Regions from separate parts of the Mus musculus genome. Here regions 1, 2 and 3 are each reported to be linked to region 4. Evidence: microRNA targets listed by miRTarBase, many of them from high-throughput screens and not tested one by one. Region 4 holds a microRNA gene; each other region holds the end of a gene's coding sequence.
What was found. Region 4 holds the annotated microRNA mmu-miR-362-5p (AAUCCUUGGAACCUAGGUGUGAAU, at 2,375-2,398, shown strand). A microRNA usually pairs through its seed, bases 2 to 8, with sites in the 3' UTR of a target mRNA and lowers its output. Matches are read on the target gene's strand: a 7mer-m8 pairs with bases 2 to 8, a 7mer-A1 pairs with bases 2 to 7 and ends in A, and an 8mer does both.

Region 1: miRTarBase lists Ikzf5 as a target of mmu-miR-362-5p. Seed matches in the 3' UTR shown: 7mer-A1 at 1,311-1,317.
Region 2: the mRNA of Ppm1e is a reported target of mmu-miR-362-5p. Seed matches in the 3' UTR shown: 7mer-A1 at 450-456.
Region 3: the mRNA of Rsrc2 is a reported target of mmu-miR-362-5p. The part of its 3' UTR that is shown has no 7-base or 8-base seed match.

Annotation. Positions count from the first base shown.
Region 1 is chr7:131,389,210-131,392,209 of GRCm38, forward strand. It overlaps Ikzf5 (IKAROS family zinc finger 5), which reads right to left. Exons shown (of 4, transcript NM_175115.4): 4 at 1-3,000. The coding sequence ends at 2,428. It also overlaps a transcript of Pstk not described here. Among named protein-coding and RNA genes, the nearest start is that of Pstk, 20 kb to the left of the region's middle.
Region 2 is chr11:87,227,563-87,231,702 of GRCm38, forward strand. Ppm1e (protein phosphatase 1E (PP2C domain containing)) reads right to left here. Exons shown (of 7, transcript NM_177167.4): 7 at 1-4,140. The coding sequence ends at 3,318. It also overlaps a transcript of Trim37 not described here. Among named protein-coding and RNA genes, the nearest start is that of Gm22883, 89 kb to the right of the region's middle.
Region 3 is chr5:123,725,837-123,729,976 of GRCm38, reverse strand. Rsrc2 (arginine/serine-rich coiled-coil 2) reads left to right here. Exons shown (of 10, transcript NM_001005525.2): 10 at 621-1,551. The coding sequence ends at 800. Among named protein-coding and RNA genes, the nearest start is that of Zcchc8, 6.9 kb to the right of the region's middle.
Region 4 is chrX:7,240,277-7,244,416 of GRCm38, reverse strand. It overlaps Mir362 (microRNA 362), which reads left to right and starts at 2,371; the gene lies at 2,371-2,435. All of the region lies in intron 2 of Clcn5 (chloride channel, voltage-sensitive 5), which reads left to right. It overlaps Mir501 (microRNA 501), which reads left to right and starts at 3,066; the gene lies at 3,066-3,174.

The sequences.
Region 1 (3,000 bases), not on the chromosome of region 4:
TTTAAAAATCTAAACTCATGTTCACTAAACAAAAATAAATTTAGTTTTAGAACATTGCCTGTTATGGCAAAGTACTATAAATAGTGCATGGTCAACTTTTCTCAACTCATTTCTATAAAACATTTGATTAAAAATAAGATGAGGAACTTATTTAGTATTTAAGGAAAGAATCCAACATCTTTCCTAGTACAGAATTTAACTCAGAATATTTAAGCAAAAGCCTAAACCTTTAAAAGTACAATTTCAAAAAAGTTCCTAAGGTAGATTTGCTTCAAAATTTTAGTGCATTTCGAAGTACTTGTAGCTTCACACATGGACACCTTTGGAAGACCAACTGTGCTCTTTATATTATTGGAAAATCGGGGGTTTTTCCTTCTTGTCTGTAATTATGAAAAGTTTTTTCCGTATTTAAAATGAAATGTACCTTCAGAACATTCATCGTTAGTTGTTAGGAAAACCAAAATGCCCATGTCACTGTTTGGCCCAGAACGTAGAGGTGATAAAGCTGGCTGTGAGGAGAGCCCTTTCGGCTGCTTGGCCTTTGAGACTGTGTCTTGCAGTGTTGCCCGGCCTGGCAGGGACCTCCTGGGCTCTAGCACTCTTCCCGCCTCTGCTTCAAGCAGCTGGGACTACAGATGTGCGGCAGTACACTGGGCTTCTTCCTCTTTTGGGAAGTTTTCACTGTCTATTTGGAAGTATTGCTTTTAATTGAATCAAACTTTAAAAACAGCAAGGTTTCCCAACAATAACCTGTTTCTTTCTGGCAGCTGATAAGCACAACAGTCAAGTTATGTATTTGGAAAGTGTTGCCCTAAAACTAATCTAGTAAATGATTTAAGCAACAGACCAAAATCACTAGAAAGTGTCTTCGGGGCTGCGCTTTAACAGTGCAGTTGGGAGGAGCCAAGACTGGCTGTGTACGCACAGGCACCCTCGGAATGGCTTTCCAGCACAGGGAGGGAGAGCAGGTCCATTACCAGGGCACTTGGGGCTTCACGGGTAGACACTCTCATAGTTCCCTCTTATTTACTGTAAGAGGCTATTTTTTGGTTAATAAATGCTTGACAGGGTATTTCTTTAAGAAGCCAATTGAGAATATTTTCAAGCTATTAACCAAATAAAAATGAAAAATTTGCAAGGTACACAGAAACCAATAGTAAGTGACAATGTTTTATTGTTTTGCCAGGCTCTCTTCAGAGTAAGCTACTTATTACACAATACAAAAATAATGGCTTCCTATATAAAATGAACCACTCTAATTCTAAGTAAGTTAAATGACACATTTAAATGTGCTTCATAATAACTCTATTTATCCTTTCCCACTGTGGTGACGATCCCACCGTCTCTGTCCATAAAGACTCACAGGGAGGACTTTCCATGGCCTGCTCTGCTCTGGAGAGGCAAGGAGGCTCTGTCTGGGCATGCTCTGGGTTTGTAGCTGTTTCCTCACTTATTACGTCTCTGGGTTTCTAGACCAACCCTTCGTGGACATTACGGGCAATTATGCACAGAGGGCAGGAAAGGAGCCTCGGAGGCTCTGGAAGCATCTCAGTGGGATGATGCGCTCACTTCCTCTTTGGTCATCAAAGACTGGGAAGAATAAAATAATCAGTGTGGCTGTCAATCTTACCTGACACCAGTAACAGGTGAATGCAGAATTTACATGAAAGATCAGATTGAAAAAAGGCATCTAGCACTCTAGTATATTTACCTGTGGCTTTAAAATAATACTCAAAATATATAAATACATATATAAATGAAAAGCTAAAAACTAACATGTTTACACATTAAATGAACAGATATCTCAAATACCAAACACAATTTTCAATTTAGCCCCAAATTTCAACTTCCAAGATTTTCATTTTATAATTTAAATTTGAAAGAACTGTTTTATGCTTCTCCTTGAAGAGAAATATTTATTACACTGAAATAACTACTGGTTTTGGTTGTAATGAAACTAATTCAACTTAAGTTATGTGAATGAAAATAGTATTTTAATTAGGAGCAAACTTAAAGGCAGTTTGTCTATAAACACTGAAATGTTATAAAAGATTTTATGAGAAGTGTGCCATTTTGACATATGGCAGAAAGAACATTAGCTGTAATGTATATCCTGAAGCATCAGGAGTACAGATAACCCTGGGAATCCTTATGGACAAGTGTAGGAAACTGATTACAACTGTACTTTAACTCTCATAGGTGTAAATGAAAAAGACAGCAATGCATCTAACTATCTAATGCATAAATAACCCTGACCAGACTTTTATGAAAAGTTAACAAAACCCTTTTTCACTATCAAACTTCTATTTTATAGACTAGAATGTATAAATTTTAAATTAGCATATACCTTATTAGGGATGATCAAACTAAAAACCAAACTACAAACTCCCAAAAGGCCAAACCAAGTGAGAACAATGTTGATTGTGTTCAGTGCTGGTTGTGTTGCCCTCTTGCAAAATGACAGGCAAAATCGTACTTGTCTTTACATTTGCACCCACATACGTTACACTGAAAGGGGCTGTCATACCCATGGCACCCCATGTGGACAGTGTAAAGGACGTTGTCTGCAAAGTACACGTCACAGTGCTGGCAGTGGTGTAGAAGCTGAGGATCCTGCACCGGCAGGGTTGGAGCTGGAGTGCTTGGCTGGCTGTTTCCTATGCTGGGAGTACTGGTGTGGGCACTTGGTTCACTGCTGGGCCCTGCCACTGGACTGTAGTTCCTCTGACTATGCGATGGCCGCGGTTCCGGACTTGTGGGGGAGGAGCTCTGAGGAATACTTGCTGACACAGCAGAGACAACTGCTTGGGCAGAGGGTTGCTGAATCATGAAAGGCTTTTCATCAGGGCAGGCATCTACATCAGGAGAGGCAGGGTTTTGGTTTTCTGGTGGCAAGCTGGACAACTGTCCTGCTAAAGTAGAGAGCTGATTCAAAGGGTTGTCAACCATGAGTTCTTGGGGGTCCCTTGGCAGGCCACCAGTTGGTGTAGTTTTAGCCAT
Region 2 (4,140 bases), not on the chromosome of region 4:
AAATAATTTAGACCTTTTCTCACAAAGCCTCAGGAAGCCTTTGGTGGGGAGGAAGAACTTGAAGCACAGCAGTTTACTTGTCCGCAACCCTGAGCTGCGTCACGCATCATGTCCATCTGCCCCTTGGATGCCGGCCTCTTACTGGCACAGTGTTCTAGCAATGGAGTGTGGTGTCATGGAAATGGAGCGGTGCTGCTGTACCAGGCGACTGTGGTCAGGACTAGACTTAGTGTTGACATTACTAACATTGTCCTTTGAAATGATGATCCTTTCAAGGCTCCTTCTGTTAAATGCAACATGGACTTTAATTGTATTACTTCAAGGACAATGGATGGCACTTATAGGTAAAGAAAAGGTATATACATGTTTTTCTGTCTGACCTCTGTTGTACAGACATAAATATTACTAATAGCCCCAGTATTTGGTGCTGTAATGTTGCCAATCTCAGTTATCCTTCCCAATATACATGTCTCAAAAAGTGAAAAAAAGAAACCTTTGAAATTCGGGACTGATGCCCTTTGAGACTCACAGTGAATGTACAAGGAGTAGTAATCTCGGTTGGTGACTTGTCTACTTTCCTATCAGATACTACACTTTCTTGTTTATATTTGTTTTGCTATTTCCTACTTTAACAAAACTGTTTTAGCAAGCAAACAAATTGATGCAGATCATGTTAATTGAAAAAGTGATACTGCCACTCTTTAAGGATCGAGTGTAGAACTTTCACCACCACTAAATTGCACAAAGAAATAGAGGTACAAAACACATAATTCACAGACTATACCTCAGCATTTACAGTTAATATATATTGTATAGATACTTTTATATCTGTCTAATAATTGTACAATCACCAGATACACCATCATTAAGTATAAGTTACAGAAATGTATAGATACCGTTAGTTAGAGGGTTACTTATTGCTTACATTAGCAAGCAGCAAATAAGGGCAGAGGATTTGAACTGAAGGGAACTACTTCCTATCACCAGTGGCATTAAGATTTAACACTGCATTTCACAAAGCACTGCTTCTTGTCTGGTTTATAGAACCAACAGCAGCATTTATCAGGCCAATAACCACTACTTTAATATTATAGAATGTTAAAGGACTTACCTTACAAATGGTACCTAACTACCTTATAAATACGCACATTGTGAACAAATGAAGTTAGTTTTTACATTATTGGTTTATTAACTTGACCACACTAGAAATACTTTTCTCTATTTTCTAGAGAGCTAGTGATATGAGAAATGGAGTTAACACTGCTGTGTAGTCAGACCTACAAAATCCAGACCTTTCAAATGGGTCTGTTTGTCCCGGTTTCATCCACCCAGTTTTTTTACCCCACTGATAAGCCTATATCACCTCAAAATTTTTCTTTTCTCCTCATTCTGATCAAAATCATTGCCAACAGGTAACCACAGATGATCTTAGCTACTTTGGGATATGAATGTTCATCTGTGTTCTGCTGCCTTGTTTTCTTAGAAATTTTGGTTTGAAAGTGACCCTGTACCTGATGGGTTGTCAACAAGACCTGGGCTTCAAAAAACAACAACCATGTGTGAGGGCCATGTGTAGGCAGAGCATGAGAGAGAGGAGGATGAAATTAACACTGCTGAGGAGGAGCCGCGGGTATTCCTCTCCACCTGTGTATCACAGGTACTGTCGGAGAGGGGTAGACCGACTCCAAGGTCAACAGAAAACACTGAGAATCTCCGCTTACTCTCAAGTTTTGAAAAATAAAAGCTATAGATTAACAGTGTAACCATTGCTGAAGAGAAGCTGAGTTTTGGTCTCTTTAACAACTTGATGTAACCATGATATATGTTAGTCATCTATGTCTTGAAATTTGGGAATCTTAGCCCTCTGTGGGTCTGGAGAATGCAGCATGAATTGTGTTACGTAGACCGTGGATAGGAGCAGCAGTGCCTCAGCAAGAACATTTAGCAGTGCCTGCACTGGGAGCAATGGCTCTAGCAGCTACTCTTGCCTGTTGGCCTGACTGGCCCAGGGTGGGGGTGAGGGTGGGGAACATGAGGACATGGATGCATTCATGGCTGAGAGAAACCAGGCTGCCTCACTGAACAGATACGATCGCGTACTTGCTGTCTTTATGCTTTGAAACTTTGAAATGGCAGAAGGTGGTTGATTTAAAACTATATACCTTAAGTATTGAAAGGATTTAAAACTATATAAACTATAACTTAAGTATTGAAATGAGAAGCACATGACCTGTCACTGTAGTCTGAAGCAAGTAGCTGGACTCTGGCTTGTCTTCCAGTTATAACTAAACAGCCCTGGCTCTCAGTAATCTGCATTCTCCTTTGCACTTGGCCTCTGGGTTCACACTCAGCCTCCTTCATACCAATTACTTCATTCCCTTGGGGAAAACAATTTTAGAGAAGTTAAAACTATCATTTTTTTCATTCTCCAAACTACGTTTTATATTATAATAATATATGCCTTTGCTGTCTGTAAACATAAAAAAAAGCAGAAAATATAGAAATGCTATTTCACAACTCTTTTTAAATGGCATGATTCTTATATTGTACCTCACATCATCTCTGCTAAACCACTTTATTCCTGAGATGAAGGTACTGTGAAAAACATTAGCATCATAGGTTACAACCAGCTGATGGTGGTCTCCTAAAATGCCAAGTAACAAAATCCCATCAAAAGCACCATAACAGGTTATAAAACGTTCAAATAACTAAAACCTTATGAAGTATTTTAATTAAAAATGTCATAGTTGCCTTTCATTTTCTATGAAAAGTGAATGATCTTACTGTATCCTGCCTCCCAAGTCTGAGAACATGACACTTTGGTACCGGCTTACTGCGTCTCATCAGCAGTTTAGGCCCGTGTGGCTTTTAGGCTTTCACCTACCCACACAATTGGGAAGAGATGCTCCATAGTCCCCAAGATCTTGAGGGACATTTCCCAACAAAATTTAATTCTGCATTGTTTCCTTTAGAGTAGGCACATCAGACCAGATAGTTGCGATTTCCATACCATATATTCTGACTCGAATAACTTTCAAGCTTCCACTAGTGACGTGAAGGGATGGTGGAGAGGGGCTGTCTGTGGTATAGAGACACATCACAGGGACCAGTTGAATAATTTCTCTAGTGAAACCGCCAATACTTTTGATTAGATTGAAAATGCTATTTTGAATTTCCTAACAATCTATGTACATTTAAGGGTTGAGCCATCCGTGGATTCATAATGAAGCACATGTACGTTAAAAATGTCTACCTTGTTTCTACTCTGATAGTTATATTTCTGAGAGAACTAGCTAGCCTATGTTGAAGAAAAAGTCTTAAATTTTATAGCTCCAGGGAAAGTCTGGGCATGGAATATCATTACGCTTTCTGATCTTCACATTTCCACTATATCCTTCCCAACTATTTTCCCTCCATGGCAAAGAACTTCTTAACATCTTGTTTCTCTTCCCACTTCGAGTAAGTGAGGAGAGGCTAATGCCTATTTTGTGAGAAGGCTCTCGAGCAGACAGAAACGAGTAAAACTTTGGATTAAACCTGAATCCACGCTGCCTTTTGGAGTAGTGGTGGCGTAAATGATACAACCTAGACGCTGTCTTCCCCCGGGATTTGAACTGTTCATTTTCCAACCCAGAACTGACAGGAGACAAGTTCTCCATTCTGCATATCTGTTGCCCTGTTGAACCCAAATTAAAAGAAACCCGAGGCTCTCCAGCACCACTCCGTTCAGGCAATGATGACTTGACTGATCTCTCCTCCATTATTAGCTCATTAAGATCTTTCTTTGGTGCACCAGGACCAATCATCTCAACTGGTGGCAAAAATTGGGTACTGTGAGGTTTGCTTGCTTCTATTTGTGTGAGATCTAGGTAGTCTGGATCTTCCAGCACGTTGATTTGGGGCCCTGGGCTGAGGCTAGTTCTATCAGTGAATGAATCCACTCGCCCCTCATAGCCTAGATCGGCGGGTGCTGAGCACTGGTGCTGTGGCCAAGGGCGCTTGCACTCTCCATGAGTCTCCTTATCATCCCCACCATCTTCTTGCCCTCCTTGAAAAGAGTTCTCTGTCCACTCTGACTCCTCACTAACATTTACAGCCTTGTTCATGTCCCTCAGGAATACCACAATAACAGTGATGTTA
Region 3 (4,140 bases), not on the chromosome of region 4:
TTCTATCTGCTAGTGGCTGGTCCCACCTTCACTCTTCCTTCCCAGAATGCTTGCAATCTTTTCTGTTAAACCCAATTTTAAAATAGAAAATACTTTTGTCCCTGAAACAGGCCTATCCCTCCTTCACTTTACTTATGGCAGTTACATATGTGCTCGGTCTTAGGTGCACTATCCTTTACCATACTACTTACAATAAGCTATTGTGCTATGTTCCCATAATGTCTTTGTACTTACAAGTGTTTTAATAGCTATCATCTTTAATAGTGTATATCTGAGCCGGGCAGTGGTGGCGTATGCCTTTACTCCCAGCACTTGGGACACAGAGGCAGGCTGATCCCTGAGTTCGAGGCCAGCCTGGTCTACAGAGTGAGTTCCAGGACATCCAGGGCTACACAGAGAAACCCTGTCTCCAACACCCCCCCCTCCCCCCCCCAAAAAAAAAAAAAAGTTTATGTCTGGTGCTGGAGAGGGGGCTCCAGAGGCCACAGGTTTGATGCTCATCATCCACATGAAAGTTCAGAACTGTCCATGTCCAGTCTCAAGGGCACCACGACTCAGACAGCATACCTGTGCTCCTGATAATGGTTTAACAGTTAACACCTTTTGTGTCTGGTATTTAGAGTGAAGATGAAGCTGGCTGTAGCTCCGTTGATGAAGAAAGTTATAAGACTTTAAAGCAACAAGAAGAAGTTTTTCGCAATCTTGATGCTCAGTATGAAATGGCAAGATCACAAACCCACACACAAAGAGGAATGGGTTTGGGTTTCACATCTTCAATGCGTGGAATGGATACAGTTTGAAAAAATATCAATTTGGGACTTTATAGACTTGTTCTGATGTTGGGTCCTTGTTCACCACACAGCTAGTATTCTAGCTTGCATGGGTGTTGCATTGACTTTAATTTATTGAAAAATACGATTTTTTTGTAAATATCAGATCAGTGATACTGGTGTTAGTGTTGTAATCAGGTTCAACCCACTTCCATTAAACTTGACAGGACTATAGAAGGACAATATTTTTTAGTTCATGAATTCTACTTTTCAAATATATTAAAGCTTCGGGTGGGATAAAATCTCATGCATAGATTTTTCTCGTGTCCGCTGTCTTGTGTACTTTTGTACTTAACCTTGTACAGTTATTTTCATCTCTTGAAACATGAAAGAAATGTTATGTAGATGTTCTTTAGAAGATCTGGCCATTTGGTACATAATCCTGCACACAAGCTGGGCAGTGATAATAAAAATGGTTTTCTCAAAACTGGTGTTAATTTAAGTTACCTGCTGTTTGGTTTGGGAGGTTGTTTGTTTGTTTTTATAATTAAAAAACTGGTTATAAATGCCTTTTTATAGCCTCTATTATAAGGTGTAGACAATATAGACAATACCACAGCGAGCTGTAAAGGGAGGGTGAGTGGAGCATATTAAAATAGTACTGTTTCTACTGTAAGGCACAATTGGTGTGCAGTATTTGTTAATCCATGTTAATCAGGAAATAGACTAAAGTATTAAAGGGATGTGAGCACTTTTACTCTAATAAAGTGCCTTATAACAAGTCCATTGTATGCTATTTGCTTATTATCCCTTTTGAAGTATTGTTCAGCAGGAACTAAGACATGAGAAAGGGGGAAAAAACATAGCTCACACTTTTAATCCCAGCACTTAAGAGACAGGTATATGGCTGAAAGTTATAGGCCAGGTTGGTCTACAGTCTTATCTCAAAAAGAAAAAAAAAAGCCACACAGGAAAACAACTTTGTGAAGCTCAGACTTGAATGATATCTCAGGGCTGTTGGCTAGAGCCCTGTGCTTTGTGGTGGGTGGTCATGTAAGGGACACCCAGCTTAACATAGTATAACTACCATATGGTAAAGACCTACAAGTGATGAAATAGGAGTCTATCTGTGATAATGGGACTATTAAAATTCCTTCTTGAAAGGGGAACTCTGACTGAGGCAGGCAGATCTCGAGTTTGAGGCCAGCCTGGTCTAGAGTGACTGCCAGGACTGTACACATAAACTCTGTCTGCTAAAACCATTAAATAACTTCTTGGAGAAAGGACAAAAAGGCTGGAATCCCATCCATCCCTAGAGAGGCAAAGACAGGAAGATTGCCTCAGGCCAGCCTAGGCTACAGGTAAACAAACCACTGGAAAAGGCCGCTCTTGCCTAGCCATGGGTTTGATCTTCACCACTGCATAAACAGGAGCACATGAGATCTCAAAAGTCTTGGAAGACCATTGTCTCAGACACAACTATTCCCACAGATAAACTTAGTGCCTGAAGCACTAAGACTTAAAATTTAAACATACACACTCACGAATAGATGGCAAGATGGGTCTCTCAGCTCATGTCACACATGCCTGATTTTCAACTACCACGGTCTGATCTGGAAGTACAGCCTGAACCATTGAAAGAACTTAGGCTTTCCTTCATTAAATTGTATTAAGTGACATTTCTTGAGTGGATTATTTATGACCTGACCTATCTACTCAATGAAGATTTGGGAGTTTGTACATAAAATTTTAACCCTGAGACCTTAAGGGTTAATAACTCAGAAGCCTGAGGAACTTGCTAGAGCTGACCGGATAATAGCAGGAGCAGGTACCCCTAGGGTCAGCAGTTCAATAGGCCCTCCTTTGAGAGCTGATAATTATGTCAACATAATAAGGATCTCCATCAAAAGGTTTATTTGGAGGAAATAGATCCTAGATCTATAGACTAAAATCTTTTCATCTAAAACTTCTCTTTCCTGGCCTATAAAACCTCAAACCCCAAGTGCACAGTTTCCTCTCCCTCAGAACTGCTCCCATTCATTTTTTTCTGATTAGACAGTATGCCTCTGTAGAGATCAGTACCTTGCCCCCATTGTAAAGATACCTTTTATTCTTCTATAGTAATTGTCTCCATGCCTTATAATCCTTGCTAATCTAAGCTTCTAGCTTCCATACACTAACCTAGGCCTAGAATATTTTCAACCTCTGAGACCTAATGCTAAGATCACCCTTTCTAGTTCTTTCCAAACTGGTCCCAAGCTAATTCATTCAGACTGGGCTTCTGACTGAATTTGCTCTGCTCGGCCTCAACTAACTGTTCTGATGCGGCTCCTCATTCTCTGGTTCATTCTGTCTTCATCTGTGGCTAGCCTGTTCTCTCTCCAGTCTCTCTGTACAACTAACTGTCTCAATAAAACTGACTCCTTCCAGCCGGGCAGTAGTGGCACACACCTTTAATCCCAGCACTTGGGAGGTGGAGGCAGGTGGATTTCTGAGTTCGAGGCCAGCCTGGTCTACAGAGTGAGTTCCAGAACACAAAGAAACCCTGCCTGGAAAAGAAAAAAGAAAGCCACCTCCTTCCTCTTTCTTTCTCCACTGCTCTCCTAGTTTTCCTTATCTCTCCTCTTGAGAGTTGGGAATATCTTATTCTGTCAAATCTTTCTCAGATTTGTCACTCTGCCACTCAGACATTTTCAGAGATGGGTGCTTCCTTCTACAAACTAACTTTACCTTCATTGTTTGGGATGTCTGGCAGTCAGATAAAAGCTGACGTTTTTCTGGACCACTGCTCCACTTCTGTTCTTCTTTCTATGCTTTTCTCTATTCTCTATCTCCCTTGCATGATAGCCCTGGCCATGTCTAGTCTGCTGACCATGTTCTTTCTGTTTAGTATACTTCGCTCTACTCTGGGCTCTTCCAGATGTGGCACAGATTATTTGATCACACTATGAACCCTGAGATTATGGTATTTATTTGAAAAACCTTGTTTTAATTGTGTGGCTCAGCCTTAGCACACACCTTTAACACAGGAGCTCTCTGCCTGAACTTTGTAAAGAGATAAAGTCACCCATATGTCAAGAGGCAGAGCAAGCAACCAGTTGACAGGAAGTGAATGCAGGATTATTAAGAATAAACATAGAAGCCGGTGGTGGTGGTGGCGCACGCCTTTAATCCCAGCACTTGGGAGGCAGAGACAGGTGGATTTCTGAGTTCAAGGCCAGCCTGGTCTACAGAGTGAGTTCCAGGACAGCCAGGGCTATACAGAGAAACCCTGTCTCGAAGAAGAAGAAGAAGAAGAAGAAGAAGAAGAAGAAGAAGAAGAAGAAGAGGAGGAGGAGGAGGAGGAGGAGGAGGAGGAGGAGGAAGAAGA
Region 4 (4,140 bases):
AGAGAGAGAGAGAGAGAGAGAGAGAGAGAGAGAGAGAGAGAGAGAGAGAGAGAGAGAAGAGAGAAAGAGAACATGAACACAAACAAGCTTGGGCCTGGCTTGGGGTTTTTGAAAGCTTAATGTCTACCTCTAGTGAGCTGACTCCTCGAACAAGGCCACACCACACCTTCTAATCCTTCCCAAAACAGCTTTACCTACTAGGGACCAAGCACTCCAGTATATGAACCTGTGAGGGCAATTTTTATTAAACCACCATGGGAGTGTATAGTTAAACTAATAAGGATTACTAGGTGATGAAATGTTATGTGACTACTATTGTATATGTAGTTTGTGGCTTACCAAACACCATGTAGTATGTGACTATAGTTCTGATTGTATGATAGTGTGCTGATATGTGGAGCCAGTGGTAAGTTGGGCAGTCCAGTCTTTGTAGCATGTGCATACAGGAGGATGAAAATCATTCTCACTGTGTACGATCACATATACATGCCTGAGAAGCTGCAGGATGCACTTCCTTACTTTAGCCTCCACTTTCTAAGTGTCAAACCTGATTCATCACGTTCTCAGCACACATAGGCAACCTTCAAATGCAGAGGCCCACTGACAGCTTAGCAGGAACAGAGTCCTGCTCCCCTAACCTTGTTCTCTTACACCTCTAAGGAAGGGTAGTGGGCTCTCTTGGTTTTCATCTTTGACGGAGCTGTTATAGGAAGGTATACTTGTTTGTTAACACTGACATTTTTGTAAACACATACCTAGACAGTCATAGATATGCTTTTGCATCAGCTGGGTAGATAGGAGAACAAATATGAATGAAGCCCATCTATAGCTAGGTGTACATCATATATAGGCCCGTGAGCATAGAAGGTTTCTTTTGTTTGATACACTTGTTTTCTCATAGAGAAAAATGCCTTACTGTCATTCATTTATATTCGCTCTCCCCCCTTCTCTACTTCTCCCCTCTCTCCTTACTCCTGACTCTCTTCACTCTCTGTGACATATAGTAGGAAAGTGAAAGATTGAAACTTGTGATTTTGTCTTTCATATCCCTCACAGAAAGGGGTGTGAACTTCGTTGATTTAGGCACATTGAAGAAGAATTACCAGAGAGCCAGTCCTTGCATTGCCTTTTACAGATTCTCCGAGTCACTGATATTCATGCCTCCTTCACCTGGCTTTTGCATATATGAGTATGACCATACTATTGTAAACAGGACATTCATTTAGACACATGTGTACAAAAATGGTAGTGTAAGAGGTAAAAATAATAGCCAGGGGCCAGGTCCTGCATCCTACTCTAGGCTTGCATCTTACCTAATTTTTTTGGTACTCTTTAAAGAGATAGCATTTGTTATTCTCATTTTTTAGAAGTAGTCCATGACCTTGGAGAAAGCAGGTAGATTCTTTAATCCAGTACATGGTGAAGTATAGGTTTGAAACAGGGTTTGTAGATACCAAACTCCACAGTTTCTCTGTCTTATCCATGATGCTGGTAAGGTCCCCAGCATCACCCAGCCCCTTTTAGAAATACAAAATCTTGAGCTCACTAATGAGAAACCTCTGTAAGTTATCTTAGTACCAAGTCCTCCAGGTATCTGAAGTAACTTTAACAAGATGCTGATGTGTGTTAAAGGATGCCAATCTCTACTGCCATCTTGTGAGCTTATGGCCTCTTCTCTCTGTCTCTCTGTCTTTTTTTCTTTCAGTATTTTGTATCTCTGGCTTTATATTTTTATAATCTCAGAACAAAATATGAATGTATATATTTAGACAGGTTTCTCTGTCTCTGTCTGTCTGTCTGTCTGTCTGTCTCTCTGTCTCTGTCTCTCTTTGTCTCTGTGTCTGTCTGTCACTCTGTCTCTCTCTCTCTCTCTCTCTCTCTCTCTCTTTCTGTGTATGTGTGTGGAGGGTGCAGAGGTCAACCTGAGGTGCTTCCCCTTTGGGGACATCTACCCTGTTTTTTGAAACAGTCTCTAATAGGGACTTGGCACTCACCAGTTAGGCCAAGGGATCTAGCTTTCTTTGAGTCCTCACGCTTGGCTCTTTTATGTGGAGGCTGGGAGTTGAACTCAGGTGCCTAGACATACTTAATGTGAAGCTCAAGAACATTGTCTTCTTTCTCATCACAGATAAGCACCTTGTGTCAAAGGTGAGCCCATGCGTTCATTTGCTGTGAGCCTTTTGCCCTGCTTCAGTTCTCTGATCCTTGCTACCTGGGTGAGAGTGTTCTTCAGCAAGGATTCTGAGAGCCAGACCTTTGTGTTTGTAAAGGACAGAGCGCATCTCTCGTTCTCTTTTAGTGTGTTGCACACAAGCATATTGACCACACACAGGAAGGGCAGGTTCCTGAGCCTTCTTGCTTGCTCCCCCTCTCGAATCCTTGGAACCTAGGTGTGAATGCTGCTTCAGTGCAACACACCTGTTCAAGGATTCAAAGAGGCTGAGCCTTGTCTGCGTGTAGAATGGCCCATACTTGCACATCTCACCTGCCACCTTCCCTCCTCCTGGCCACCATTTGATTTTGGTTTTAGCTGTCAGACTTGGTTCTACACATTTTCTAACAGCAAAATGGTCTTTATCATGTTTGGTAGACATGCTTCTATTCTCAGCATGAGCTTTCTTGATTCCCAGTTTGCTAAGTGTCAGATCATGTGATGAGGAGCACACATTAGGTGCTGCTACTCAGGCAACCCGTTTGTTACATCCAGTGATAACCCCTGTTCCACAAAGCTTGAATTGTATAAAGGCATTGGAAAGGAATGGAGTATCCTCCTCCACTGTGCCCTCTTTCAGTATGTATATGCATTCTCAGATCCCAGCCTTCTTGCTACCTTCCAAACATAAATCAGGCCCCCACAAATTCTCAAGTATGATCTGGGAGAGATACCATTTTGTATACGTAGAAGTTTTCTCTGAGAGAGGATGCTCATGGTGGGAAGGGGGCAGATACATATATAAATCAGGGATGTCAAGCTTGGGTATAGGTGGTGATGCTTGGCTGAATCAGGACAAGGAAAATTAAATATTATATACAGAACCACACAAACATGGTACAGGTGCCTGGGCCTTCTGCTCTGCTCATCCTCTCTAATCCTTTGTCCCTGGGTGAAAATGCTATTTGTATGCAATGCACCCGGGCAAGGATTTGGGGAAGGTGAGCCTGATCTGCATGGAGAAGGACAGGAGGTCTGTGCATCATATCTCATCTGTTTGCTGCTTGCATACTTCTTTTATGCCTCCCCCCACCTTCTTTCCTTCTACAAATACAACGGGCATGGTGCATGGGAGAGTAAATGTGACAAATTTGGCCTCTTCCCACCTAGATTTTATAGGTAGAACTTTATTTCCACTTATGACCCTAACAGGTATCAAGAACAAGTGGGGCACATAGTAAACTGTGTATTGACATAAGTGCGCAGCTTTTCATTCTAGTTCTCATACCGACACCTGGAAGAGAAATTCTTCTTTAGTTCAACTCTTGGAGGAATGCACAGGGCAAGAACAGTAAGCCTTCTTGTTGAACCCACATGCCAAGGGCATAGGTGCAGGCTGTGCCTTTCTAGTACTTGCTACTTGGATGAGTGTGCTTTGCGAATGCAATATACCTGGGCAAGGGTTCAGACATTGAGTTATCTTCATGTAGGACCTTTACGCCTCCTTCCACTGTTTCCTGTCTATTTATTCAGTATGGCAGGTACTCAACTAGGGATTTGGTCCACAGGAGTATGAACCACATGTGGTTCAGGGAGCAAATGGTCCAGGGAGAGTGAGCTGTGTCACATCCATTATGCCTGCATGAGTGGACTGTAGACTGGGACTTCATGTACACTGTCCACTTGGATTCTTCCATATTTTAACACAGTCCCATATAAATGCAGTGTATACAGAGGAGAGGATTCACAGACTTGTGCCCACAGAGAGGATTATCTGACCTGATTCATCAGGAACATTAATCCTCAGCACAAGTGCTGTTTTCAATAGTAAGTCCTGTCCAAGGAATCCAAAGGGTGGCACTTCGCCTGCACTTTAAAGGACAGAGCCCCTATATGTCCACACCCCTGTTCCTTTTCCTTCCTTTCACAAATATTCAGGTATGCACTATTTGATACAGCTCTGTTAGTCATAGAGGATGTAGCAGGAA